Linked DNA regions of Cricetulus griseus. The protein of the gene in region 2 interacts with the protein of the main gene of each other region in a pairwise test. Links are inferred from orthologs where the notes say so. Each region holds a gene or a part of one and is shown on either strand. Other genes may lie near its edges.

Region 1 (2,794 bases), about 180 Mb from region 2:
CAAGGCTAACTTTGAACTAGCTTCTCATCCCCTTGTCTCTGCTGCTAGGCAACTAATCTACCACTGAGCTACAACCTCAGCCCCTTGGAAAGTTACCAAGTGCTCTTAGAACTGTTTTGTCATATGGTCACATTCATCTGTTTCTTCTCCAGTAAAGCAATTATATAATCACTAGAGATTTGCATATTCATACAGGACAGCAACAGACTGGAGCTGTTGCCCACCCTCCTGCAGTGCCTCCAAGACCTCAGCCCTCACAGGTAAGTCTCCTGTGTACTTGGTACAAATGGCATTTGCTGCCATCTTCAGGATCAGCTTGTGCCTTAGACAGCTCATTCTATTTATTACTATCTGTAAGGTTGGCACTTAAGTCAGTGACAGTAAGTATTCTTGGAAGCTAAGGATTCCAGTAATGTGGGTTACTAAGAAACAAATAATGCTGTCTTAAAGGGTTTAGCAGAACAGTGGGTTGGGAGATAGAAATATCTGATAATGTCCTGTGTCCATCACCAACTCATAGACAGAATCCACTCTTATCTCCCTGGACATTTGCATCCCTGCTAGGTCAGAACTGAAGTGCTACAGTAGACTATTTATAGAATAGTTCAGGACAGCCTTGGTGGCTTGTAAAGTTAAAGAGCATATTGAGAAGATAAAAGTGAAATTAAGGAATTAAGACCCGGAAGATAAAGAGGTACTTGCTTCAGAAAGGGCATTCCAAAGAACAAGAATGGCACCCACAGAGGCATGGGTATGATATATATATATGGAGACTGGCATCTTACTGAGAGAAAGCCAAGTTCAATACGACTGATAGATTGTGTGCATATGTATCTGGGGTATTCGCTGTAAAGTATTACTAATTAAAGAGGAACACGGTGACACTGGCAATGCTAATAAAATGCATGTTCCTGTTTTCTAACCCATTGTACAGGCACCTGGTCCCTCAGTGCATCGGCCAGTGGATGCCGATGGTCTAATAACTCACACTAGTACCTCACCTCAGCAGATACCAGAACAACCAAATTTTGCAGATTTTAGCCAATTTGAAGTATTTGCTGCATCAAATGTAACTGAAGAACAAGACGGTGAAGCCGAGAAACATCCTGAGGTCTTGCCAGTGAGTTTTCTGGAGTTCACCTAATTTGTGACAGTCTCTTCCCATATGCTATAAAGAGGACTCTTGAAAAAGCAGATTAAATTAGCAGAGGCCTAAGTGAATAAAACACCTGCTGCTGCCTCTTTTGGAGGATATGCATTCCCTAGATCCATGCTTCTCAGATACTTGATTGGCCTCTAACGACCAATGGTTACACTATTATATAGTAAGATTCAGGGGTCAGGGCCTGGGGTGTGTGTGGTGTGAAAAACACACCCCTGGCCCTGGTTAACACTGCTCTGGTTGTAGGACTTGATGAAGACTTCCCTAGGATAAGAAGCTGTGTTTACCATAGCTACACACTCCAGCAACACACACACACACTCCCAAAACACCACCATGTCTAAACTTAGTTTCATAGAGTCTTCTAACTTAGTTTCATAGGCTCTTCTAGGAGACTAGTTTTAGTGTTCAGGAATCTGGTGGCATTGTCTGTGTTGATCTAATTTAAATCATTGAAAATATATATGTGGCTGGCCTTTAATCTCAGCACTCAGAAGGCAGAGGCAGGTGGATCTCTATGAGTTCGAGACCAACCTGGTCTACAAGAGCTAGTTCCAGGACAGACCAAAGCTACACAGGGAAACCCTGTCTCAAAAAAAAAAAAAAATATATATATATATATATATATATATATATATATATAAGTGGAGTTGGAAGGAGAAAAGTAGTACTGACCTTTCCTTTGTGATTGCTCCAACTGTTGGACATCTAACAGGTGAAACAGCCCATGCTAATTTGACTGCATACCCTAAAGATTTCATGAGTCTGACCCATGGGGAAGCTCTTTTTGGCAACCCCTTTAGCTCACCTGGCTCATTAGAGGAGTGGACTGTGTCTAGGAAGGTGGCGTGGATATGAGGGCAGAGGCAGATGTGCACAGGAGACTGTCATTCATTTGCTTGGATGGATGTGTCACACACACACCAGTCTCAAGTGCCTCACAGCAGCCAGCCACAGTCAGTGCCTTTGGCAGTGTCTCTACTCTCAGGTTTTGTTTTCCAACTTGAGTGCTAGAGTAAGTCATTTGGCAAAGTTTTCTCAGTATGGCTCATCCTCACCTCATACTGATTTCCTGTCAGTATGAACAGCTCCTAACATCTTACTTTGTTACGTGGTTCTGTGCCTTGCTACGTATAATTATATAGTAATGAGATACTATATTCATCTCTAGACTGAAAAAGCTTCTGACCCCGCAACCTCTCTTCGGATTGCCCAAGCAGACGGTAAAATTGAAGAAAAGACAGCTGCTAGTGTTCCTGCCAATGTGGTATGAAAAGTCTTTTTATACTGTGGATAGTTTTGTGTGTAAGGGGACTGCCCAGGTGCTTTAGGAATAAAGGTGGCTAAGCCTGGTGCAGTTGCTGTGGATCTTGAGTCCAGCAGCAGGGAGGCCAAGGCAGGGGGGGTCACGAGCTCCAGCCTGGGCTGCATGGTGATAATCATTTGTTCCTGTTTTTCCTTAACTGTTGCCACAGATACATAAAGTGTTTTAAAATGAGACAAGTAACCTCCTTTTTTAACAGCAGTGGCTTTAAAAAGGCAATCAGTGTTAGCAAAATGCTAATTAAGCATGAATGCCACTAAGAATGCTCATTTATTTCTCTCGTCTTTTAGAGCAAAGGCACCACACCT
Region 2 (4,063 bases):
GGATCCTTAAGGACGTAACATTTGTAACAGAGGATTAAACACTGGCTGGACTAGCATAGGTGGGCCAGTCGACCGGTTTCTCCCACCCCCATCCTCTCCCCTGCTCTGTTCTGTTTCAATGACTATTTCCTTGTGGGACAATGCTGAAATTGCTCTGGTGGTATACAGACTATCTCCCCAGTTTCATGTCTCACCACCAGCAGCTCCAGCTACATTTGAGGTACACACACAAGTACACACACCCTTGGGGATGCTACTGTGTAGTTAGCCTGACATACATTATTCCCTATCTAACTGCCCATGATTTCTATAGCTGTCTAGCTGTATGTCAGGCATCTTCCCCTGGGTATGCTCAGCCCATGTTTTCATCACTGTTTATCTATGGCCCTTTTCTAACTACTGCCCTCTTCCATAGCTTCTCCATTAGGAAACAGATAATCACCTCTTGTATACATTCACAGAGCCTCCATATTTCCTACAAAGCAATCTTAGAAACATATTGTAGTTTATGTGCTGAGGATTGTAGCACACGGTTGAGTGCTTTTCTAATGTGTCCAAGACCCCAGGTTCAATCCCCAGCAAGTCTCTGTGTATGTATGTGTATAAAACCATGTAAAAAATATATATATATGTTATTACTTGTTGACAATTCAAGAGATACACTTGACTATCTGAAAGCAGATGGTCTTAACCATCTTCAAGTCCTCTTCACTCGGCAGAGACTCTAAACACAGTAACTTTTGCATTTTCCCCCACGTTCTGTCTTACATATACTAACAAATTCTATCAGGGGTTTTCTTTTTAAAAGAAAAGAGCAGCTAGACATGATGGTGCACGCCTTAAATTCCAGCACTTAGAAGCCAGAAGCAGGAAGATCTCTGTGAGTTTGAGGCCAGTCTGGTCTTAAGGAGGCTGTGGGACAATCAGGATTACACAGTGAGATCCTGTGCCTCCTCCCCTCAATAAAGACCAAAAAAACAGAACACACTTTGGGCAGTGTTCTGGACTAATCTCTTCTGCCAGGCAATCAACTGTGCAAATTAACTGTGATAAATATTTGCTTCTTTAGATTCTTACTATTTTTGATCCCAGGAGAGGTGTGCAATTACCCGTGGAGGCCAGAGCTGTTGGATTATCCTGGGAACTGGACTTACAGGAAGCTGGCAACGGAACCCCAGAAAGCTTCAAGAGCAGCAAGCCAATTATAAATAGCTAATAAACTATTTGTGCCTTCAGACATGCAACGTTTTCCCCTAAATGAACAGAGAACCAAGCCTTGTTTGTTTTTGTTTTTTGTTTTTGCTTTTTTGGGGGGAAGGGGAGATTTTGAGGCAGGGTTTCTCTGTGGCTTCGGAGCCTGTCCTGGAACTTGCTCTGTAGACCAGGCTGGCCTGAAACTCTGAGATCGGCCTGCCTCTGCCTCCCGAGTGGTGGGATTAAATGTGTGCACCACCAACGCCTAGCCCAATGCACACTTTTTAAAACACTACTTCTATTTTTCTAAATTATTAAGAAAATGGTTCCTGTAAGTTCTACTCTGAGAAGCCACCTTTTGTAAAGACAGCAAATTCACTTACCTTGTGTCTAGATACTTTGTTTTAAAAAAAAGTTATTTTTACCCCCCCCCCATCTGTGAGAGGCTGTGGGAACCACTCCACTGACTCCCACCCCGTTAAAGCCAACACCGCAGACAGGAATTACTCATTTCGGGGGAAGATACTCGGATCTTGACATTACCAAGGTAAATTCCTACCACAGAAGTGGTGTGACCTTCTTCGTTCCCAGTCTTGTTTCTTCCTTTACAGGTGCTGGCAACCTCAACACCAAGGGAAAAGTGGGCCTTATCATCACGTACATATGTTGTGAATAACTGCCAAGCATGGTGGCAGTTAGCCCACACCCACTCCATTAAAACCACTGAGGCTGGGCAGTGCAGCAGCTCACTCCTGTCAATGGTCCTCAGGAACCACACTAAACCCTGGGGTGTGCAAGCTGCTCTCCCCCCGGAAGAACGCTCGAGATAATCTCCAAACTTGAACCGGCACTACTCTCAGAAGGCTGCCAAGTGGAAAATTTTGTCAAACCTGTTTCCCAGCGACGTATTTTAAAGACGAATGCCGGTCTTCGGTAAGAAAATCACTGGCACACAAACACACTCTCCAGCGCGGGGAGCCTGGAGCTCCGAACTCCAGGTCCGGCCGCCGAAGCCTGCACCCCTCCCTGCAGGAGCTCTGCACCGGGGGCTCCCGGGGCCCCAGGCCCGCCGCGTGCAGCGGCAGCGGCAGCGGCAGCAGGAGCCGCTCCCCGACCGCAGCTGGCGGCGCGGGACACACAGGTGAGCCTGCCAGGTGCAGCTGCGGCCAGGCGTGGCCCGCAGAGACGCCCCGCGGCCTGGAGGCTCCGGGAAGCCGCTGCCTCCCCAGCTCGCCCCCGGCGCTTGCCCGGGAGGGGAGGGAAGGGGAGGGGAGGGGAAGGCGGGCGGCGCGACCCACCCCAGGGTGCGAGCTGCGGGGTGAGCCTTCCCGGAGAGCACGGCGAGCGACAGCCACGCCCCCCACCCCCGACTGCAGCCCCGAGCCCCGGGTCCCCAGCCCTGCACGCCGCCTGACAGACAGGCGCGGGCGCCAGGCCGGTTCGCCCGGGCACGAGACGGCTCGCCCGGGCCCCCGCGCCGCGACCCCCGCCCGCCACTGACCAGCGCCTGCCGCCGAGCGACCGCCGACTCCGCTGCAGCCGCCGCCTGCTCGCACTCACGCCGCCGCCACGACCGCCGCCGCCGCGCCCGCGCTGCCCCCGTGGCCGGCCGCGGGAGCCCCATCCCCACCCCGCCCAGCCTCCGCCTGTTTACAATGATTGGGACGGAGCGGGACGGGCCGGCCCAGCGCGCACGCGCACGCCCTCCTCCCGCCGCGGCCGGCTTCCCGGGTCCTCGGATTCCGGGCTCTGACGGCGAAGGCCGTCCCGGGCAAACGCCCCGTGGCCTCGCGCGGAGCGCGCCGGGAGTTGTAGTTCCGGCCACCCCCGCCGCCCGAGGCCCCTGCCGCGGACGTAAACCACAACACCCAGAAAGCACCGCGCCTCCCGAGGGCTGCAAGGCGCTGGCTCCGGGTGCGGGGGGCGACAGGGAACCCGCGAGAGGACGTGCCCAGCGCTGAGGCTCGCAGGCGCCTGCGCAGTGTCCTGGGCAGCGAGGGGCTCGCACGCCTACCGGAGCGAGCGGATTCCGGCGAAGACACGCAGTTTGGGAGCCCCGCAGTGCTCGGCCGGAGAGAGCGCGCTTTCCTCCTCCAGCTCTGGCCTGGTGTCCCCAGCTTCCTGAAGGGACACTTTTTTTTTTTTTTTTTGTCTGCGTACCTCGGTGGCTCCAACCGGTTAAACCAGCCCGGGCTGCCGGCCGGCCCGCCCCGCCCCTGGGCGGAGCAGCGCGCTGGCCTTCCCTGGGTGTGCAGAATGCCTTCTGCCGGCGTTGCAGCCGGGGAGCAAGCTTGTGGGGTGCGGGGCCGCCGCAGCATCCCCGAGGCCACCGGCACGGGTGCTGCCCCACCCTCCTGCCGGCACCGAGTCACAGCGTCGTGTGCAGCTGGCACACAGAAGACCCTCGGGCAGGCTGGGGGCAGTGCTCGCCCGTGCAGGGCGAGCCGCGAAAGGCCGCCGCCTTCTGAAGTCTGCCGGCCGTGTGACCTTGAGAGAAAGAAGAGAAATGGGGTCTCTGGAGGGCGACGTCTTCGCGATCACTCCCAGGAGCCACCTTCAGAACCTCCCCGCCCCTTTAGATTGGCCGCTGTGGTCCCCGGTGAGCTGTGCTGCCCAAGCCACTGAGGGTCTGCAGGAAGCTTCCCGCGCCCTGGCAGTCAGCTGGCCTCCGTGAGGACGCGGCCCTGTGAGAGCACGCCACTGGAGACATTCCTTCCCGCCGATTCCGACAAGGGACAGGCACTGACTGACCCAAGCAGAGCGTTACCTGGAGTCCTCTCCAGAGAGGGGTTAAGTGAACGCAGAGTAGAGGGGTGGGGAGAGGCGGGCCTACCGAGTAATTACCGGTGGTCACTTCTACTGCCCTCAC
Region 3 (3,500 bases), on a different chromosome or scaffold from region 2:
TGGGGCAACTGTGAACAGAAAAAGCACTGGGATGCTGTCCCACCCCGCACCGGTCTTGCTCTCTGACATTTTTGTATCTCAGGCAGGTACCGTGTGGCCCAGGCCCTTCCCACTGGTGGCTGCCTAATACTGGGGAGGCTGAGTCAGTCATTGGCAATAGTAATAGCCAGGGAGTGTGTGTGAGTTGGTCTCTGAGCTTTGCCTCTTCTTTTCCAGGATCCTCCAGGCCCAAGTACCACCAGTGTTCCTCCAGCAGCAGCAGTACCAGTACCTGCAACAGCCCCAGGAGCACTCCCCACCCCTTCATCCAGCTGCTCTAGGACATGCTCCCCCAAGCTCCTTCAGTCCACCTGCGGTGGAGGGACCAGCAAGTTCCCAGGCTGCCTCGGGCAGTGCCCACCTGGCCCAGATGGAGAGTGTACTGAGGGAGAACGCCAGGCTGCAGAGGGACAATGAGAGATTGCAGAGAGAGTTGGAGAGCACCGCAGAGAAAGCCAGCCGCATAGAGAAGGTAGAGACTCCTAGGGCCTCTGGAGGCTGGGGGAGGCAGAGGAGCAAGAAAACCGATCAGGCTGCTTCTTGCCCCAAATTCTGTCCTACATCCCCCTCAAAACACCCCAAGCTCACTCCAGACAGCTGAGGAACAGCCGAGCAGTTTGCCCTGGCGCATGAGCAGTTGCTGGCCAGTGGTGGTTAGAAAGAACTCATTCACTAGCTCTCTCCACACTTGCACTACCACCCTGCACAACCCCTCCCGTGGACACCTCCCACAGAGAGCCCTTTGTGCGCCCACACAACAGCCAGTCTGTTCCAGGCCAGCCCTGGCCACAGAGAAAGCCCCTCCTCTTAGGGAAAAGAAAAAGCAGCGTGTTGGCATAGCAAGCCAGCTAGGAGCACGTGTAAGACCTGTGGCTTCCAAGTGGGAGGGGCAGCCACATGCTCTGGTGAGAGGCAGCTCAGGCTGGGGTCTGGCTACCCCCTTCCTTGGTGAAGCCTGGCCAGTTGTGTTTAAGGTTCAGTTTTAGCAAAAGCCTCGGGCCTTCCTGTACTGTCTATCTACAGTGTTCTAGATAGGTTGAACCAACTAGAATATGCTCATTCCTGGTCCATTGCACTCAGATTATCAGACAATGCTAGGCAGAAATGAAATGCTTCTTATAAACATTGGGCATGGGGCAGACTGGAGGTAGCCCCCTTGAAGAGCATTTAGCCCTGGGTCCAGGCAGCATCCAATCCCAGCAGTCTGCCCTACCTAAGAGGCTGAAGTCCTGTGATTATCTCAGTATGGAGCCACTGGCCTCATTTACTCCCTGGGACCCTTCCTGTCATTCAGTTCGTTGTCTGTCTTTTACAGCTGGAAAATGAAATTCAGAGGCTGTCTGAGGCCCATGAGAGCCTGATGAGGACCTCTTCCAAGCGGGAGGCCCTGGAGAAGACTATGAGAAACAAGATGGACAGTGAGATGAGGCGGTTGCAGGACTTCAACCGTGATCTTAGAGGTGAGAATTAGGATTGTGGGTCGGGGATCTTGGAGAACATCTGAGGACTTTGGGGATCTGTTTTAGGGGGTGGAGGGGATTCAGAATCTCTGTTCTGTACTGTAGAGGCTCCCATGAGTCCCCATCATTGGTACCTGATCTGAGCTGGGACTTCTATGAGCCCATCCCCAGCTCAGATGATACAGGCTCACAGTTAGAACCCCAGGATAGCCGGGCGGTGGTGGCCTTTAATCCCAGCAGAGGCAGGCAGATCTCTGTGAGTTCGAGACCAGCCTGGTCTACAAGAGCTAATTCCAGAACAGCCTCCAAAGCCACAGAGAAACCCTGTTTCAAAACAACAAAAACAAAAAAACAAAAACAAGAACCCCAGAATAACCCCCAGGCTGGCAACATCCCTTGATATTAAAACATCTCTTTATTTGAAACAGAGAGATTGGAATCTGCAAACCGCCACCTGGCAAGCAAGACACAGGAAGCCCAGGCGGGCAGTCAGGACATGGTGGCCAAGCTGCTTGCTCAGAGTAAGTAGGGGACCTGCTAAGAAATCTAGCTGGCTGTACAGGCAACGAGGCCACTATGACCCCAGTCCCTCGAGGTTTAACCCACTTCCTTGTAGAGTGGCACTGCAAGAACAGATTTACTGAATGACTGCTATGGGAAAGACCTGTTTCTGAAGATGCCCCAAGCCCTAGGAACCAGTGACTGGCTGAGCCACACAGTAGTGACCTTCAGCGTAGCATTGGTCCCTCCTGCAGGGAGGCCCGGACAGCCAAGGCAGTAGTTAAATAGAGGACAATGAGGGATCTTCTGAGTTTCCTAGGAATGCCAGGCAACAAAAAGGCTGAGGATACAAGAATCTGGAGAGTATGGTGGAATTGATGGAGGGTCCTGGGATAGCCACAAATGGGCCGAGTCCACAGCTACAGTCTAAAGGAAGCATTCAGGCTTCTCTGTAAACAGGGAGGCCCAGGCAGGCATCCTGGAGGCTTTATAGACTAATCCATTCATTCCTTCATTAGCAGAACTGAGCTAAGCACTGGGCCAGTGTTGGGCAGAGGGTGGGAACTCGCCCAGAAAATGGCAGGGAGGTGAGATAAGCTTAAGGCCCGCGCGCCCAGGTTCCCACAGGTTCGAGAGAAAAAGTGTTCATGATCCTGGAGATTGGTGATTAGGAAGCCCCTGGTGATGGGGGGAAATGTGTGGGAACAGCAGAAGCAGGGCTGCAGGGAAGGAGGAAGGTATCAGACTTGAGGGGGAGTGGCAGGCTTGTAGGGAAGAAGGGAAGAAATTAGAGTACTTGGTTAAGGGGCATCTAGAGAGGGGAGGACAGCTTCTGCTGGCAGTGTCCTCTTCTTGCTTCAAGGACTTAGGGCCCTCGAGAGCTTGCTAATCAGCCTTTGGCAGGAAATGGGCCCAGGTTGGGCAAGACTTGAGCTATCCACTACCTTTCAAAATGAGGTGACAGTGGCTAAAGGTCTCTGGAACGGAGGTGAGGGGGGAAGGAGGTGTGTCGCCTAGGTTGCCCTTGGGAGTCTGCAGAGGACCGACTGCTAGGGGAAGGGAGAATGGGGGTGCTCTGGTAGGAAGGGCGGCTTTTGGGCCCAGGCTTTGGCAAAGAAAGGAAGTCTTAGGGAGGGTTTCTGGAAGCCTGCAGAGGGGGAGGGGGGCAGAAGCAGCCGGGAGGCGTTTCCGCTCCCCGGGGAGCGAGCTAGCGCCAGGCTGTTCTTGGCTTCTTGCTGGAGCCATTAATCTCGCAGCCGCGGGTGACCTGGATGCCTGGCATTCCAGAGCCTCTGGGCTGTTCCGCTCCCGGCCGGCCCCCCTCTGTTCCCTCCCATGTGCGCCTGACAGTGGCGCCCTTCGGCCCCGGCGGCGCCCAGCCTGGCTTTGGGAGGAGAGAGGGTGAACACAAAGGGTGACTGGATCCTGAATATGGGGCGCCTGCTAAGCAGGCTTAGCCACCCACTCCCTACCAAGGTATCTTAGACGTTGTACTTCTGG
Region 4 (4,226 bases), on a different chromosome or scaffold from region 2:
AGAAACTGCTAGAATTCCATCATTTAACATTCAAAGTAAGCTAAGAGATTTTACTGTAGAATTCCCCCTCACAAAATCAGCAGAAGCAACCCAAACCAAATAATCAACTAGTTCTAAATAGAAAACCCATGAATTAGCTCTTCAATCTGCCAAAACTGCAGCAAACAAAAACCTTGTCTGTCTCAGCTTACCCTCTTACCCTCTCAAAGTCTCACCTCCTACAATTAAACCCCTCTTGGTACCTCTCAGTCCCCTGTCCACTACATTTTTCCCAGTGTCATAAAAGGATAAAAACAAAACCTCTTCCTGAACTCCAAGACTCCTCAACCTTAGACTGATTTCTGACTTTTTAAAAAAAACACAATCTAGCCAGTGGATAAAGCTGCTTGCTGAACAAGGTTAATGACCCAAGCCAGCTCCCCAGAAGCCACTAAGGTGGAAGGAGGCAATTTCAAAGCTGTCGTCTGACCTCCAGGAGCAAACTGTGGCATGTGCACCACACACACATTCTCATGTACACACTAAAAAAACTAGAAGCACGGATCACAGAAATCATTTATCTAAGCATTTTACTCAGTGGAGGAAGCAACAGTGATTTCCCTTCAATCTCCTAGGTCTCTTCCTCATAAACTCCCTGGATCGCTCCTCCCGCTTTTATTAAATGTTAGAGTTTCCCAAAGTTTGATTCTTAAGGTTCCTTTTATGTCTACATTGATTCTCTTTTTTTAAAGAAATCTCATCTACTACAAGCCTCTTAATTTTTATTTGCCAGCAGCTTTCAAGTTAAAATATGGAACTGAGATCTAAATCTAAAACTCCAAACTCACATCACTGATTACCTACTTGGATGTCTTATCAGGCACCTAAAATTTAACTCCACTACAACCAAATTCTTGTTTAGTTGCCAAATCTGCTCCTCACACACAATACCAAAACAACTGGCACTGCCATTTATGAAACTGCTCTGTACAAAACCATTGTGTAGAGTCATTTTCATTCACTCAAATCTAATCTCTCTGCAAATCACTCAGGGGTCTTTCTCTATAACACATTTAGAATCCCTACTACTGCAGATATTGCTGCTGTTTTTTTTTTTTTAAGTTTGAATAGCTATGAAATTCTAACTGTTCTTCACGCTTAAGTATGCTCTCCCAAACAGCTTGCTAGTGATGATCCTAAAAGGAGTGAGAGCTTCAAGTTAATATTTCTAATCAAAACTCTCCTATGGTTTTCCAAAACAGAGCACAATCCCGAATTCTTACCATAAAACCTCCACATAATGTAGTTTCTGTTGTTTCATTTCCTGACACACACATTTGATACTGTCTCTCTACCAATTTTCCAAAAATAGGGCCAAAAGAAAATAGCAGTGCACAAAATACATATACTTTCCTATTGAACAGGCTTTAGGATTTCAGTTGTGCGTACCAAAAGGACTAAGGATTAACTACATCTTGTCTCCTATATAGTTTATGCACCCAGACACTTGTTTCTGCCAGTCTTACTTTTACCCTTTATCAATCTGGTCCGTGAAGAACTCCCAATTGTTTGCTTCTCCACTCCTGGATCTTTGTCTGCTAGACGCATTGTGCTGAAAACTTGAGACAGTCTGGCCTTGTTAGCACAGGTGGCCACAGAAAGCTGAAACTGACATTCTTAAGTGTGACTGCACTATCTAACGGCCTCTCCCTCATCTGTTATGAAATTATCCCGATATTCTGACTTCCCTCATTAGTCAATTCTTACTTGTTCTAGTTCCTCTTGCCCAACTCTACCTCTCCATTACCTGTTTATTACTAAACCCGCCGGTGTGCAGCATTTCCAGAGTCCTAGTAATCCGCAAAGAAGCGGGAAGGCGCGGGCTCTGGCTGCAAGGGTCGCCGCGTAACAGTCACCGAGAAGCACTGTAGACAACGACGAAAATGCACTCGGGGGCCTCGGACGCCCCGGCGGCCGCCACTCAGCAGACCTGCACACCTACCTGTTCTCCAAAGGTATCGGAGCGGGGCCGTTACACTCACGTGATCGACAGAGCTTTGTTTTCCCAGGCCTGGGAGTGCAGCAGCCCGGCCAGAGCAGAGCTGCCCGGCGCCGGCTGCCAGGCCAGCGAATGCAAGGTGGGAGTGGAGGCGGGCAGGGCTGTGGCTCCCTCCCCAGGACGCGGGTGCAGCCTCCCGGAGGGACCGTGCTCCGGAACCACTGCTAGCGCCAGGTCCGGGATAGCCGGGAAGGCGGGGCGACCCGGAGCGCCGTCCCGGCCCACCTGGGACCCACGCGAACACCGCCGCTTACCGAAAACTGAGACTCAGAAGCCGCCGAGACAGAGGCGGCCGCCATCTTCCCGCCTGCACGACGCGGGCCGCCGACCTGGGGCTTCTCCTCCGGATTCGACAGCCGCCCGCCTGGGGCGAGCTGAAGCCTAACCCCAGATGGAAAGGGCGGGCGCGCTGCGAATCCCCAAGGAGCCCCGGCCTCACACTCCACAGGGACGCCACGCACTGCGATCACTAGAAGAGCAGCGCGCCTTGACGGATTTCCTCATTGACCAATCAGAAAAGAGGACATCTTCGGGCGCAGGCTAGGGCCCGCCTCTCCTCTCGGTGACGTCACAAGGTAGCGCGCCCCTGAACCTGCGGGAGCCGCGTCGCTGGGAGTTAACAGACGGCTCCGAGTACTCTGGAAAGGGCAGTGTGTCCCGGAGGAGGAAGCAAAGACTCGGGCCGCTGGAGCCTCCAGCGGCTGCCAGGACGGAAGACGGGAGCGGAGTAAAGGCGAGTGTACGTTCAAACACTCCATCAGGACCCCAGACACTCCAGAGAACGTCCGCCTAACGCGACGCCTCCCCAGGTGAAGTAATGGCCTTCCGGCCAATGACAATCCAAAGTGGGTGGGGCTTAACGGCATGGTCCAATGGAAACCGTGGGCTGAAAAAAAGCGGCGCTTCGTGACTTATGGCCAATGGGCTCAGGCGAGCCGCCCACACCAGGACTGGCCGCGGCTTGTAGGCGGGACCTCTTCCGAAGCGGATTTCGCGCGCTCAGAGCACCGGTCTACTATTGGTGGTTATTATCCTCTCTTTGTGGGCGCTCCCTGCGTAACCCAGGCCAGGGGTTGGGCGGAGCTTCCGAGTGACGTGAGGATCTTTGTGACCAATCATAGAGGGGGACGCGAGGCCGAAGAGGAAGCGGAATCCGCAGACCAGCGCCCGCTTCGTCTCCCTCCGCCGTGTTCCGGGCCTAAGCGGGAGCAGCGGGGCGGGCGGCAGCGGGTGTCCCGGGACGGCGGCGGAGGCGGAGGGAGACACGGGAGGGGGGGGGCCCGGCGGTCGCCAGGCAGGGGCCGCAGCGGCAGAAAAGCCCGCGGGCGGGGCAGCCGAGTTCCCGGAGGCCCCGCCTGAGCGCGCGCGGAGGAGCCCGAAAGCAGGATGGCGGCGTCGGCCCTGTATGCCTGCACCAAGTGCACGCAGCGCTACCCCTTCGAGGAGCTGTCGCAAGGCCAGCAGCTCTGCAAGGTCGGTGGGCGCCGGGGCCCGGGGATCAGGTGGGCGAGACGCGGGTCGGTCGCGTCCCGCCAGCTCGAGGCTGGGGCCGGCTCCGCCTCGCTCGGCGGTCTCGGGTGGGGCTGAGCCGGGCAGCCACTAGTCCACGGCGTCGCAGAGACCCGGTGCAGACTCTTGCCCCAGCCTTGTCAGCCCTCTCCTTCCACTGGGAGGCAGGGCTTCGTGTTTGCACTTTCTTGCTAGGATCCCGAACCCGAGGCTGCAGAGCTGACGGCATCCTGCTTCCTGTCCCGGAAAGCGAAGCGACTGGTTTGGGAACAGGGTGCTCTGATTTGGAGCTCCTCCCATCCCATAAAAGCTGGGACGCTGTCTGTGAGCAACTGTACAAAATAACACATGTAACCTCCCCTGGGAGTCAGTCCTGACAGCTTCCTTGATTTAAATGTTCCATACCCCCCCACACACATCCAAAAAAGATAAAAATATCTATGGCCTCCCTGTGGAATTACACTGTGACTGGCTGCTGATAGGATAAGTCACCCAGTTGTTTATTGACGTTTCAGACACTTGACTAGATTGATTTCTACCAGAAAAGTGACATTGGGTCTGTGAGATAAAACTGACTAATGTATTATCTTATTACAGGAATGTCGGATTGCACATCCTATTGTAAAATGTACTTACTGCAGATCAGAATTTCAGCAGGAGAGGTTTGTATACTAAGCAC
Region 5 (4,032 bases), on a different chromosome or scaffold from region 2:
TGAAATGAGCAGTAATGATAGGACTCAGGAAGCTAGGGCTCCTGCCCAGGCAGGGGATTATCACCTGTCTGAGTGGGCTGAAAGTGGCCATGCACGGCATAGGGTTGTGGCTGCGGCTGTGATAGGTACTGCACGGCAGGAAATGCCGACGGTGCTGGGAAGGTAGGAGACATCCATTAGCTCTTGTTGGTCTTGCTGTTCTTCCCTCTGCTCCGAGGAGAACCAACACTCACCTCTGAGCTGCTGGCTAGGACTATAGGCTGGCTGTGTAGGTCCATAGTGAGGTGGGGGCTGAGCAGTTCCATAAGCACCCCCTGGACTGCCTTGGAATTGTCCATGTTCTGGGGTTCCTGCAAAAGCAGCTGCCGATCCCACGTAGTGCCGGGTCTTAGAGGGAAAATGAAAACTCACTGCTTACACAGCACCTAGAAAAAACTCACTCCATATGTCCTTATGCTCAACTGAGCTCCTACACACTACATGCTTGGTATGTTTGTACTTTAATGATGGTTGGGGTGCCAGCAATATAGGAGCAAGTAACTGGGACTACACGTCCAAGCCTTTTCTCAAGCTAGGCATGATGACAGATAGACAGGATTACATTTCAAGGCCATTCTTGGCTACATAGTGACTTCAAAGTCAGCCTGAGCTTATAAAAGACTTCTTAGGGCGCAATAAATAAACAAACAAATAAATAAATAAATCCTCAAAGAAGACTCATCCTCACCGTAAGCACTTGGGGTCCAAACATCTGCTTGGCTCTGTCAGCTGCCATGAGAGTACCTGGGCGGTTGTGTCCTCCAGGACTCCCTAGAAAGGGAGAGGGGCTTCATGATGCTGAAATAGGAGGCTACAACCTCCAGGAGAGCCCCTTCTGTCAGGTGGTTTCTTTAGTCCTCACCCTGCATGCTGAGGAGGTGAGTTCCCGTGTGAACAGTCAGGCTCTGCTGGTAGGCAGCTGATGTCAGAGTGGTTAGGTCACTGGAGTGAAAGGAAGACAGGGCAGTCAGTAAGTAGCCCTCCTTTTGCTATTAAACAGATTCTTTTGTCACCTGTTCCACCACACAATTTTACTTTGATCATCACACCTCTGTTCCTTTCGTCTCCGTTTCTCTTCTTCATGCAAAACTTTTTTGAGCTGCAAGAAAAGCTGGTGCTTCTCCTCCTGTAGAGCTGAAAGTTTCTCCTGTAGTTTCAGAATCTGGAAGAAGGATGAGCAGATAACAGTGGGGAAAGGGAAGAGAAGAAGAAACCAGAACTGGCAGTAATGAGGAGTTACTTACTTGTTCCTTGGTCTCTTCTAGTGACATCCTCTCTTCCATCTCCTTTTTCTTTCTTCTCTCCTGCTCTTCTTTCATCTTTTGTTCCATCATCTTGTCCACCTCTTCCTCCTCTGAAGAATCAGAACGGGGAAGTGGCAGGACAGTGAAAATAAGCTGAGTGTTACACTGAAGACCAGCAAAAACCAGTTATTCCATCACAGCCATAAGGAGAAGGAGGCTTCATTAGTTGCTCTCCAAGGTCCTTCCCAGCCCAGGGCTCTGGAACTTAGACTGGGCCTCTTCGCTCACACCCTGAAGGCGCCGCTTCCTCCCTCTTAGCCTTGCCAGCAGGCGCACAGGTTGGCCCGTGGATGGGGGCAAGTTCGTGGGTAGCAGAGCCACCCTGGGCCGTGTTTGTCCTCCCGCTCTGGCCCTGGCTCACCCTGCCGTTTGCGCTCCCGCTCCATCATGATGTGCCTGTGCAGAGCCCTGGCCATAGCGTTGGAAAGCTTGGGGCGCTCCAAGAGTGCGGGCATGGTGCTGTTGATGACGCTTGGGCAGTGGGTGCCCGGCTGTTGTCACTGACTGCCAGACCTCAGGCGGGGCCTGCAGGGAAGTGGGAGCTTAGATGGACTGAGACCCGCCAAGGCGGAAGCTAGTCCGCCGCCCGCTCGCCGCTTCGGTCACGTGTCCCGGGCACCAGCGTTCCCCCGGGTCTCAGCCTCAGCGCCAGCGCGCGCGCGGGGGTCCTAGGTTCCGCGCCCCCGCCCCTCCCTCGCAGCCCGGGCGCCAACCCCCCTACCCGCCTTCTCGGAGCTTTCTCCGTGGCCTCCGGCGCGCCTTGATTCCCGCGTCACATCCGGCGGCCAGGATAAATCCTTCCGGAGTCATGACGGAAGCCGCCTCAGCGGGTTGGATGAAAGAAAAGGCGGAAGTGCTTGGAGACGGGTGCCGGGTTGTCCAAATTCCATGTGGGTTTAGAGGCCTGGGAAGATCTAACCTCATGCCAAGAGCCCTCGGAACTCTTCACCTCATGAGGCCGCGGGAGACAGAAGCAGAGGCACATACTCTGAAGACAGTATTTATTGGCTCCTTAGAAATCAGAGTCAGTAACAACTGTACAGAGGGCCCGCAGCTTCCTTGCCTGCCCTTCCTTCCCCACTCCCGCCCCATGGCACCCCGTGGCCACGGAAAAAGCAGCTTCGTGTGGGCACAGAGAGACTCCTTTGGGATTCACAGTAACCAGAACAAAAACGGAAATAAATTAAGTGATATGGGGGAGGGTAATAGGGAGTCATGTTCCACAAATCAGTGCATGAAGGGGGGGCCCAGAGCCTGGAGCTGGGCTCCCTACAAGCTCCCTCTCAGCAGAGGGAGTGTGCTGGGCCCTGAATGTAGAGATGTGCTTCACACCTGGTCTAATCAAAGCCTGTCTATGTGCTCCTCCTGCCAGGAAAGCACCTATCCATGCTGTAAGTCACTGGAATGAGGTGGAGGCTTGAGACCCAGCTGTGCTTGTAGTAGTGGCATCTCACCCCTTATTCCACCCGTACCAGCAGGGCATAGAGGAGTGTGGCTCCTTTTTCCTTAGTGACCCACTCAAGTTCCGATGGGCTGAAGTGCTGGTCAGGAAGTTCTCTGAGGGCAGCAGCAGAAGGAGGGCCAGGAGTGTAGGAGCCAGGGCGCACGCACACCTGAAAGGCCACCTGAGCCTGGTGTGTCCGCTGGGATTTTGGGTCCCGGAATCTATTAGACAAGAAGAAACAAGAGGAGGTTAAGGCTTCTAAGCCCCATGACTGCTCATGCTGCCCCCCTCCACCCAGACCTTGCTGTTCCTGATCTCGCCATGAATAGCTTAGCACCAACCATTCTCTATGTGTAGTACTCTCTTCCCGAGCCCTCCTCATCTAACTTCTTCATGGCCCTCTTCCTTTACCCTGGGACTCTTATTTCATGTTTGTTCTACACATTCCAAGTGCATTTCTCATCTACTTCACCCACTTTTTTGAGACATATAGAGTTCTATCCCAGACTGGCCTCAAACTCCCTACAAAAGTGGAGGATAACCTTAAACTTCTGATCCTCTGACTCTTAGTGTTAGGATTCCAGGCATGTGTTACATATAATACCCAGGAACAGTTTATGTAGTGCTAGGGATCAAATGCAGCACCTGATGCAGGACACTCAAAAAGAGGAAAAAAAAAAAAAAAGATTTGGTAGGCATATACTTTCTATGTAAACCAGACATAGTGATGCACTTTTCCAATCCCAGTGCTCAGGCTGTCGGTGGAGGCAGAAGGAACATGTGTTCAAGATGAGCTTCAAGATGGAGGCCAGGTTGGGCTATTTGAAATCCTGTTGTTTTAAAAAAACAAATGAACAAGGCCAGGCAGTCAAGTCAGGCAATGGTGTTGGTGGTGGCGCATACCTTTAATCCCAGCACTTGGGAGGCAGAGGCAGAGGCAGAGAGATCTCTGAGTTTGAGGCCAGTCTGGTGGACAGAGTGAGTTCCAGGACAGCCAGAGCTACACAGAGAAACCCTGTCTCAAAGCAAAGCAAAATACAAAATAAGAGGGGCAGGAGAGCTGGAGAGATGGTTTACTGGCTAAGAGCACTAGTTGTTCTTCCACAGACCCTAGTTCAATTCCCAGCCCCGACGTGGCAGCTCACACCTGTTTGTAACTCCAGTTCCAGGGGATCTAATGCCTTCTCCTGGCCTCTGCAGGCACTGCATACACAGGCTGTATAGACATATGTGCGGGCAAAACAC
Region 6 (4,216 bases), on a different chromosome or scaffold from region 2:
ATCAAAACCTTAAAGGCAACTCAAGACCAAGGCCAACTCGTGAGGCAGTTGGGGTTGTGAGCCTGGGAAAGGGACACCCAGGCACAACAAAGATTGCCTCATAGGTCAGCCTCCATGTGCCCAGGCATATCTCCCCCCCCCCCCTCTCTCTCTCTCACACACACACACACACACACACACACACAATTGCAGGAACCAGATACTTTACACACAGCCTTTCCTGAACTGGACCCACCTAACCACCCTTATGTCTCTCTGCAGGTCCCTGGCCAGTCACTGCCACACAGGCCTCTCTCTGTCCAGGACAGGACAGTCTGTTTGGTAGGAATTAGGATCCCAGCCCAAGGGCAGGACAGTGAGTGCAGTTCACAGATGCCTGCCTGCCTGCCTCCCTGCCTGTTGCCCCCTTTCCCAGGGCCACCTGGCCAGCTCCTGCCCAGTTTCTTACAAAGCTAGGTTCTATCATCCCAGTGCCCTGACTGTCTCCTACCAGGCAGACAGCTGCATCCTGAGAACAGGCCCCAGGCCTCGGCTCAGCTCCACGCAGCTGACTTGAAGAGACTAACCACTGCAAAGGTTGTCTAGGCCACCATCCTGGGTCCCATGAGCCTGTGTCCCACGCCTACACGTCTGGAATCTGTTGCCATCTGCTTCATAAAGCCACCAGGAAGACTCAAACGAAATGCACTTGGGTGGGAATCTTGGGAAGAGCGAGGCAGCCAGGAGCTCGTCAGAGGAACTAGCCACCTCCGGGTGACCTGCGTGGCTACACTAATTACCAATGTTATCGGGCGGACAACAGCCGTGCCCTGAACTTCCTCCGTTTGATAGATTCGTGGCAAACACTCCCAGCTTCAGCCCCATGCCTGCTGATTCCAGCAGCAGCTATTCTTCCACCCCTGCCCCCAGACCCTCTAACCTCCTGCCCCAGGCCTCCAAGGTCAGCCAAGCTAGCAAGGCAAAGAGAACGCCTCCTGCTGGGACACTCCATACAGAACCAATGATACTGCCAAGGAACAGAAAACATCTCTCCTTTTGAGACACAGATGCTCTGAGATGAAAGCTACTGCTTACCTTTGTTGCTCCTGCTGCTGGGGAGCTCCAGCCCATGGATCCCTGGCTGACAAGCCCTTGACCTGCACAAACCAGGGTCCCACATTCCACGCAGGCACCAATGATCAGCTGCCGGCCATCATCCACCAACAGGCTGTGGCTGGCTCTCAGGGTATACAGGAACAAGGGCAGCCTGGCCACCCTCACTGACTTCAGCCCCAGACACCGTTTCTTCTCTTGCTGGCAGAAGAAGCATACGAACGTGTCTACCTGGTACTGCCTAGACCAGGCGCTGACAGCCTGGTGAGCGGCTCTGGCTTCGTGCTGCAGCCACTGACCCAGCAAGTCATGATAGCAGAGCACACAGGTGGCCACCAGGCCGGTGGAGTCTGCAGGCCTGGCCCGTGGGGCGGGCGGATAGACAGTGAGGAAAGGAAAGAAGGGCTCCTTCTCGCCCAGGTGGCTAGCGGGGTTCATGCTGAGCTGGAACTCCTTGCCCGGCCCCAGCTCAGCCCCACAGATGTAACAGACGGCAGGCGGGCCTCCCTGTGCAGAAGCGGGCAGATCGCTTAGAGTAGGGTCCGAGGCCGAGAAGGCTTGGTGGTACCTGCCCAGGAAGCCTTGCACAGAGTTGATGAGTTCACGGTTGTGTGATGCCCGGTACAGGGCCCAGACGTCCTCCAGGACGCTGAAGCACTTGGGGCAGCTGCGAACCTCGCAGTGCTTGTTGGGGGGCCGAGCATTGGGTGGGCAAGGCAGGAGGCTGAGGAAAGGGAAGTGCATGGAGCCGCCCGAGTTGCCATTGACGATGCGGGAGGGCACTGCCCGGGCATCCCGTGTACAATCCTCCCCGCAGAGGTAGCAGGCCTCCCGCAGCAGGCCCGCGGCAGTGGGGGGGCCCTCCTCTCTGGGGAGTCTCCGGGCCTTGGAGGCCATGCCGGGGGCGTGGCTGTTCAGGGGAACCACGTAGAGCCGCTGCAGGACAGGCACGTTGGCCAGCTCGAAGCTCTGCCACTGGTGCGTGAGGGACGAGAAGCAGCAGGGACATACGAGGGTGCTGCCAGCCTCAGTGATGGGCTGGGCTCCGGGCGGGGGGCTATGCAGCCACAGAAAGGGGAAGAAGGGCGCCTGGGAGGGCGCCTCCTGCTTTTGCACGTGGATCTGCTGCTGCGAGGCCGGCGACAGCGCCGACCCACAGACGTAGCAGCAGCGGGCCTGGCTGTCCGCGGGCGTCGGGGGAGGCCGCTCCAGGCCCTCGTCCCCGAGGCTGCCAGCGACGTCGCTGCCCTCGGGGGTGCTGCTGCGCTCTGGGGGCCCTGCGGCCCGGCTAGAGGCGGCGCTGTCCGTGCCGTCAGGGGCAGTGGGGATGGGCCAGGGTTCCTGGACGCCCCTCAGCACGCTGGCCCGAGGCGGCTCCGGAGTCCAGTGCGTCCCGGGGCCCGTGCGTCGGCGCCGGACTCCGGGCTTCGTGGCGTCGTGAGCATCCTCGGGCTCAGGTTCCGGCTCGGGCTCCGGCTCTGGTAGCGCGTCGGCGTCCGACAGCTCCGACAGTTCCGAGTCGCGCGCGTCCTCGGCGTTCCACTCGCGGGCCCCGCGCCGGCCACCCGCGCTCGCGTCGCACTGGTGCGGCCGCTTGAGCCAGTACACGCGCTTGTCCACGGGCGTGCGCGCGCGCTCGAAGGCGGCCCACTGCTCCGCCAGGAAACAGCGGCACACGGCGCACACCAGCACGCAGCCATCGGCCGCGCTCAGCCCGCGCGCGCCGGGCGCCGGCTCCTGCTGCTGCAGGAACGGAAAGAAGGGCTGCGCGGGGCCCGCCGGCCTCACCGGCAGCTTCAGCTCCTTGCCGCGCGCGATGCCGCCGCCGCAGATGAAGCACGACAGGGCCGCGCCCGCCGCTGCCATGAGCCGCTGCTTGCGGGAGAGCGGCGCCGCCCGGCCGCTCATGGCCCGGCCGCCGCGCCCGCCTCCGCGCTACCCGCGGCTGCCGCTGCTCCGGCCGCGCCGCCCGAGGCCCCGCGCCCAACTCGCAAAGTTTGGCGGGCGGCGGCGCGCACGCGGCCCGGGGCGCACGGAGGGTCTCTGCGGCGGTGCCTGGGGCTGCTGAGTCCCCGGCTGGCAGCGGTGCGGGCCCAGGCGGCGCCGGAGAGCGCGCCCGGAACGTGGAGGTGGCGGCAGTGGCGACGAGCCCCGGGCGGCTGCGGCGGCCGCATGTGCGAGCTCCGGCGCCGGCCAGAGCGTCGGGTCATTTAATTGGGAGGAGGGAGGCGGGGCGGCGCGGGGCGGAGGGCGCGGGAGGGAGGCGGAGGCGGGGAAGCCCTCCCTCGCGCCGCCCTGCTGCCCGCCTCCACCCGGGCTCCTCCTCCCTCCCCCCCCCTCCGACTCCTCCTTCTCCTAATCCTCTTCTCCGTCCCCTCCTCCCCTGCCTCCTCCTCCTCCTAATCCTCCTCCCCTTACCTCCTCTCCGCCCCTCCTCCCCTGACTCATCCTGTCCTCTCCATCCTCCTCTTTCCTCCTCCCCTGACCTCTTCTCTCCCCAACCCGCCCCCCACCCCCGTCTTCCCTCCCCATCCTCTCTCACCCCCCTGTGTCCCAAACTATGGCACAATAGCGTTCAGCTCCTCTGTCTATTCTGTGTCCAGCAGGAGCCCGCAGTGATTCATTGCTCCAATTAGGGGCTCTGCAGCCCGTGGCTCGGGCTGTCTGAAGGGTCTCCTTTGGGACCCACGAAACCCATCAGCCGCTGCCGCTGATCTTTAAGGAAAGGTCAAGCCGGACGCATTAGAGCCAGGTGAGGACCGATGGGTACCAAGGGAGACTTGGGAAGAGCACCCCCACCCCCTCCCCCAGAACCTGGGGAGGTCCTGGCCGTTCAGTAGCCCAGGGTTGGGGTCACCTTTCTGAGTTCAATGCCCTAGTTTTTAGAGACAGAAGGAAAAGGAGTTGTCTTCTGCATCACCCTGGAGACAGAGTCCTCACAGCCTGCCCCCACCCTGACTGGCCAGGGCCCACCGGGTCACCGTAGGGACCTAGGGTGTAGGAATAGGAAGGAGTAGGAAGGATACTGTGTGTTTTAGGACTAAGAACTCAATCTCTCTGTGCCCTTTTCCTTCTTGTTAAAAGTGTTGCAGCAGAAATCGCAGATATCCACGGCTTAATATAT
Region 7 (4,183 bases), on a different chromosome or scaffold from region 2:
TTTGGCCTCGGGGCTTTTATCTTTCTCTACTCCTGTATACCTTTTCTTTCCTTCTCACTCCATGTCTGGATATGTAGGTGGGTGGTTGGCCCCTGAAGTCCTCCTCCTTCCTCTCTCATTCCACAATCCTTTTCTCCCTGATTTCTCATCTTTATCCTCTCTGTAGCCCTGCCTATGTCTCACCCTGCCTTGCTATTGGCCATTCAGCTCTTTATTAGACCAGCAGGTGTTTTAAATAGGCACAGTAACACAGCTTCACAGAGTTAAACAAATGCAGCATAAACAAAAGTCACACACCTTAAAATAATATTTCCCGACAGACAGGCCCTAAGGTGAGGGGCAACAACAGGAAGCTGGAGAAAACCTTCAAACTCACTTTAGTATATGTGGAGAGTTGATCGTTTAGGCTCTGACAGTGGGACATGGTTCCCAGGGCAACTTGCTGGACCAACTGCTGAAATTTTAAATTTCTAGAGACAAAATCTGTCTCACAGTTTACCTGTAGAAACAAATGGATACTGCTGTATAAGCTGTTTACAGATAGTTTTCTAAAAGTGCCTTGCAGTTGGAGATTAAGCCAAGATATCAACAGGACAAGCTGCAGACGCAACAGAAAAAAATGGCCTCAGGTTTTAAAGCTGCAGTTCCCTACTTCTGGTGAGGCAGAGACCAGGGAAGTGACTGTTGCCATGGAGGGAGTCGACAACAACCTGCATACCCCAGAGGATCCCAGAACACCCTGAAGGACTCACCGTCAGTTCACTACTTGCCTATGCAACACACCATAATCACTTCATCCATTAACCCCTTCCAACTCCAAACCTTTTTTGTTTTGTGAAAGGGTCTCAGGCTGGCCTTGAACTCAGTAAGTAGCTGTGGATGACCCTGAATTGATCTTCCTGCCTCTACTGCCCCAGTGCTAGAATTACACCCACGCACCACCATGCCCACTCTCCAAACCACTGTTACCATCACTTGTTTATCTCACTACTTTACTGTAGCCTTATTTGCGTCTGCTTTTTCACCAGTCTTGGCCATCTGGCCTTCTTTAAATCTGCAACTTATCAGTCATCAACACACAGAGTAATAGTTAATATGACTACTGACTTTACAATCAATCTTCTTTTCTTATCTTTTTTTTAGGGGAGGTCAGGATTTCACTTTGTAGCTTAGCTGCCCTCAAACTCACAGTAATCCTCCTGCCTCAGTCTCCCAAGTGTTGAGACCACAGGTGAGAGCCACCACACCCTGCTGCTAGCTTCTAAATCTACCAGCTCCAGGTAACAAGGCTGCATTGGATTTACACTTAGGAAGGATTAGGTTGCTAGGCATTTTTCCATCAAGACAGCTGTGCATGTCCACACTTAAACACAGGCCCTGAGAACTGAACTCCAAACACCACTGTGGTCTCAGATTCCTTAAGCAGGCGAAGGATCTACCACAAACCTTATACTCCCAGACATAGCTGTCTCTAGCATACAGATTCCCCAACAACTCACTTCTACTAATACTGTTGTGTTTCCCTCCTGCAGCAGCCCAATCAAGCCTTCTTTAGTCTTCCTCCCTTGAAGCTTAGCCGCTTTGCTCCAGCCTTCCTTCTGGGCCTGCTTGTGCAGCCAGGCCTCTGCCTACAAATGGAAAAGAAAGAGGAAAAAGCCAGTCACAGAAATTAGGAATATATCCGAACAGGCAGGGCAGGCAGGAGATCTCCGTGAATTCGAGGCAAGCCTAGTCTACAAAGTCAGTCCAGGACGGCTAAGGCTACAAAGAGAAACCCCGTTTCGAAAAACAAACAAAAATATATCCAAGTCAACGATTCTTTCTGCACTCCCACGTTCTATAACAGAAACTAGTCTACTACTAATGCTCTACACCAGGCACTGTATGTAGCCGGCGCCTGTATAACTTTAATCTTCACAACCCCACTATGGGATTGATGGCAGTGTCTTCATTATAAAGACAACACTGATACAACTCTAAAGGATTAATTGCAACGTACAAAGTTACAGTGTGTGTGATAGAGAGGGGTCCTCCGGCGTCTAACTTCAAAATTTACACAAACACTTGATACGCAAGCAGCAGCAAATCCCACAGCCCTCTAATATGGAATACAGTCAGTTAACTCTGGGAGTCTGGGTAAACTGAAGACGAAACCGAAAGGTGAAGCTATCGTTTAAGCCAAATTCTTCTCTTTGGGCTCAATCGTTAAGGACACCTTATGCTCCCCAGAGTGGCCCCTAAAGAAAAGTAGAGGTCGAGCTCCAGGTGGGACAGCACCTCCTCCCACCTGTTTGAGATCACCGTCACAAGCCTCCAGAGCTTTCTTGCAGTTGACAAAGGAGTAGCCCGTTTTCCGCCGCAGCTTCATAAGGAGCTCCTTGCTGGAGGCAGACGATGATAGCGTGGGGCCCGCGTGAAGCGTGTGCCATGGCTGGGACGGCTGCAGCAGGGCAGACCCGGCCTGGAGGGAGTGAGGAGAGGGATGAGCAGTCGGGAGCGGCCGCAGCTGGACACGAGGCGGGGGAGCATGTCCGCAGGGCCAGACCTCAGGGACTGTGGGCGAGCACGGTGAAAAGGAGCCGAGCTCGGGTCGGGAGAAGGAAGGACGCGCTCACGACACCCGGGAGCGCAGCTTAGCACCCGCGCCAGGAGCCCTCACCGAGCGGCCGGTGCACAAGACCGGGAAGAAGCGCAGCGACCGCAGCAGCAACATCCTCTCCAGCAGCCTCGATCCACCCTCCCGCCCTTCCGTGCACGCGTGAGACGATGGCCTACGGCGTGGCGCGAGGGCCAAAACTCCTTCCTGAACGTGTCGAGCGAGGATGCTGCCACCTGCAGGCCGGAGGAGTATATCGCCTCTTTGGCTTGGCTTTTTAAAACATATCACCAAAAAAAAAAAAATCATCAAAGACTTGGCCCTCCGCGGGTAAAACAGAAAAAACGGCACGATAGCGTTGTCACAAAATAACAACACAAGACACGTAGGTAATATTTTATGTTTCTTTATTTCCAGTGTACTTCCACATTGAGTATTCATTTATGACTCAGAACAAACGGGAGTCAAAAGTAGGTAGGTAGGTGGGCTCAGGAAGCCGTACAAGGTCACCTGGAGAGGTGAACTGGAGGTCCTTCAACAAAATGAATAAATAATTACTGAATTAGCAAAAGTATCTGCTGAACACCTGTGTGCCCGGAGCTGCTGCCAGTTTCAGGGAGATAGTGATGAATAAACCACAGCCCTGTGCTCCGAGGTTATCTATTGGTGAGGAAATAAGAATCAGGTAAGACGAGATAAGGTTCCTAAATAGTTAAAAGAGCTCCCAAAGAAGGAAATCACATCCAAACAGAAGAGTCAGGAAAAGGAGGTTTTTTTGTTTTTTTGTTTTTCCAGAAGTAAAGAGTGAATTTTAAGGGAATTCATCAGAAGATGGGAAAAGGAAAGGAATGCTGCTATGGAGTTAGGGGAAGGGAACAAAGAGTAGGACTTTGGCATGGCTAAAAGTGCAGTACAAGAGGAGTTGGAAATGAAATACAAAGTAGTTTGTGAGCACACCGGTGTAGCCTGAGTACCAAGCTGACACGTTCCTTCTTGCAGTAGAAACTAAATCCAGCAGGTTTTGGAAGGCTGCAAGAATTTGAAGAATGGTTTGGAGGTTAAGAAAGTGGTGGTGGACACACCAGAGACAACTGTGTGCCTAAACAGTAAGTGAAAAGAGCCCTACCCAGACAGCTCTGAGGGAAGAGATGAGATGTGAGGGTAAAACAAGTTAGGAAGGGAAACTGAACTTGGAAGAGGTCAGAAGAACCTAGAACTCAAGCCAGAGTTGGGTACACGATATTCTGTGATCAGGCCTTGAACTTTGCAAAGGATGAAGAAGCCACAGCCCAAAGGGACAGCTCTGGTGTTTGTCCCCAGACTCAGGTCTAGGAGGACTTGTCTTAGAGTCTTCTTACAACAGGCAAGACACAGGTGCTCTGAGGTGTCTTGGTACCAGCTCTCCCTCAATAGCTACATGTTTGGGGGTGTGAAGACATGATTAATGCTCTTTTTTTTCTCACCCTTAAAAAAATGTTAAAGGATGTTTTTTGGTTTTGGTTTCGACTTTCTTGTGTGTGGGTCTCAATATATAGTTCTGGCTGGTCTTGAACTCCCAGAGATCCGTCTGTCTCTGCCTCTTGAGTT

What was found.
Region 1: the proteins of Ralbp1 (region 2) and Reps1 interact in binary tests that used the Homo sapiens proteins (3 or more experiments, as listed by UniProt). The link is inferred for Cricetulus griseus from reciprocal best matches to the Homo sapiens genes RALBP1 and REPS1.
Region 3: the proteins of Ralbp1 (region 2) and Amotl2 interact in binary tests that used the Homo sapiens proteins (3 or more experiments, as listed by UniProt). The two-hybrid records come from large-scale screens. The link is inferred for Cricetulus griseus from reciprocal best matches to the Homo sapiens genes RALBP1 and AMOTL2.
Region 4: the proteins of Ralbp1 (region 2) and Cep57 interact in binary tests that used the Homo sapiens proteins (3 or more experiments, as listed by UniProt). The two-hybrid records come from large-scale screens. The link is inferred for Cricetulus griseus from reciprocal best matches to the Homo sapiens genes RALBP1 and CEP57.
Region 5: the proteins of Ralbp1 (region 2) and Gps2 interact in binary tests that used the Homo sapiens proteins (3 or more experiments, as listed by UniProt). The two-hybrid records come from large-scale screens. The link is inferred for Cricetulus griseus from reciprocal best matches to the Homo sapiens genes RALBP1 and GPS2.
Region 6: the proteins of Ralbp1 (region 2) and Gse1 interact in binary tests that used the Homo sapiens proteins (3 or more experiments, as listed by UniProt). The link is inferred for Cricetulus griseus from reciprocal best matches to the Homo sapiens genes RALBP1 and GSE1.
Region 7: the proteins of Ralbp1 (region 2) and Tsfm interact in binary tests that used the Homo sapiens proteins (3 or more experiments, as listed by UniProt). The two-hybrid records come from large-scale screens. The link is inferred for Cricetulus griseus from reciprocal best matches to the Homo sapiens genes RALBP1 and TSFM.

What each region holds. Positions count from the first base shown.
Region 1 is NC_048595.1:271,596,338-271,599,131, reverse strand, and holds part of Reps1 (ralBP1-associated Eps domain-containing protein 1), read left to right. Parts: intron 1-195; coding exon 196-260; intron 261-934; coding exon 935-1,120; intron 1,121-2,333; coding exon 2,334-2,429; intron 2,430-2,776; coding exon 2,777-2,794. UniProt on the Homo sapiens protein: May coordinate the cellular actions of activated EGF receptors and Ral-GTPases.
Region 2 is NC_048595.1:454,823,408-454,827,470, forward strand, and holds the start of Ralbp1 (ralA-binding protein 1), read right to left. Parts: upstream 2,801-4,063; 5' UTR 2,696-2,800; intron 1-2,695. UniProt on the Homo sapiens protein: Multifunctional protein that functions as a downstream effector of RALA and RALB. As a GTPase-activating protein/GAP can inactivate CDC42 and RAC1 by stimulating their GTPase activity.
Region 3 is NC_048597.1:210,966,078-210,969,577, forward strand, and holds part of Amotl2 (angiomotin-like protein 2), read left to right. Parts: intron 1-216; coding exon 217-511; intron 512-1,354; coding exon 1,355-1,499; intron 1,500-1,927; coding exon 1,928-2,020; intron 2,021-3,500. UniProt on the Homo sapiens protein: Regulates the translocation of phosphorylated SRC to peripheral cell-matrix adhesion sites. Required for proper architecture of actin filaments.
Region 4 is NC_048597.1:127,283,600-127,287,825, forward strand, and holds the start of Cep57 (centrosomal protein of 57 kDa), read right to left. Parts: upstream 2,801-4,226; 5' UTR 2,338-2,800; coding exon 2,293-2,337; intron 1,930-2,292; exon of another isoform or gene 1,820-1,929; coding exon of another isoform or gene 1,787-1,819; intron 1-1,786. Other genes in the region: protein FAM76B, read left to right, coding at 3,425-3,511, 4,145-4,209. UniProt on the Homo sapiens protein: Centrosomal protein which may be required for microtubule attachment to centrosomes. May act by forming ring-like structures around microtubules. Mediates nuclear translocation and mitogenic activity of the internalized growth factor FGF2, but that of FGF1.
Region 5 is NC_048600.1:83,762,284-83,766,315, reverse strand, and holds the start of Gps2 (G protein pathway suppressor 2), read right to left. Parts: upstream 2,801-4,032; 5' UTR 2,069-2,800; exon of another isoform or gene 2,065-2,068; intron 1,869-2,064; 5' UTR 1,799-1,868; coding exon 1,705-1,798; intron 1,394-1,704; coding exon 1,284-1,393; intron 1,202-1,283; coding exon 1,089-1,201; intron 982-1,088; coding exon 902-981; intron 811-901; coding exon 728-810; intron 388-727; coding exon 234-387; intron 155-233; coding exon 65-154; intron 1-64. UniProt on the Homo sapiens protein: Key regulator of inflammation, lipid metabolism and mitochondrion homeostasis that acts by inhibiting the activity of the ubiquitin-conjugating enzyme UBE2N/Ubc13, thereby inhibiting 'Lys-63'-linked ubiquitination.
Region 6 is NC_048596.1:196,858,942-196,863,157, reverse strand, and holds the start of Gse1 (genetic suppressor element 1), read right to left. Parts: upstream 2,801-4,216; 5' UTR 1,990-2,800; coding exon 1,075-1,989; intron 1-1,074.
Region 7 is NW_023276806.1:130,674,052-130,678,234, reverse strand, and holds the start of Tsfm (elongation factor Ts, mitochondrial), read right to left. Parts: upstream 2,801-4,183; 5' UTR 2,714-2,800; coding exon 2,660-2,713; intron 2,462-2,659; coding exon 2,288-2,461; intron 1,629-2,287; coding exon 1,500-1,628; intron 500-1,499; coding exon 377-499; intron 1-376. UniProt on the Homo sapiens protein: Associates with the EF-Tu.GDP complex and induces the exchange of GDP to GTP. It remains bound to the aminoacyl-tRNA.EF-Tu.GTP complex up to the GTP hydrolysis stage on the ribosome.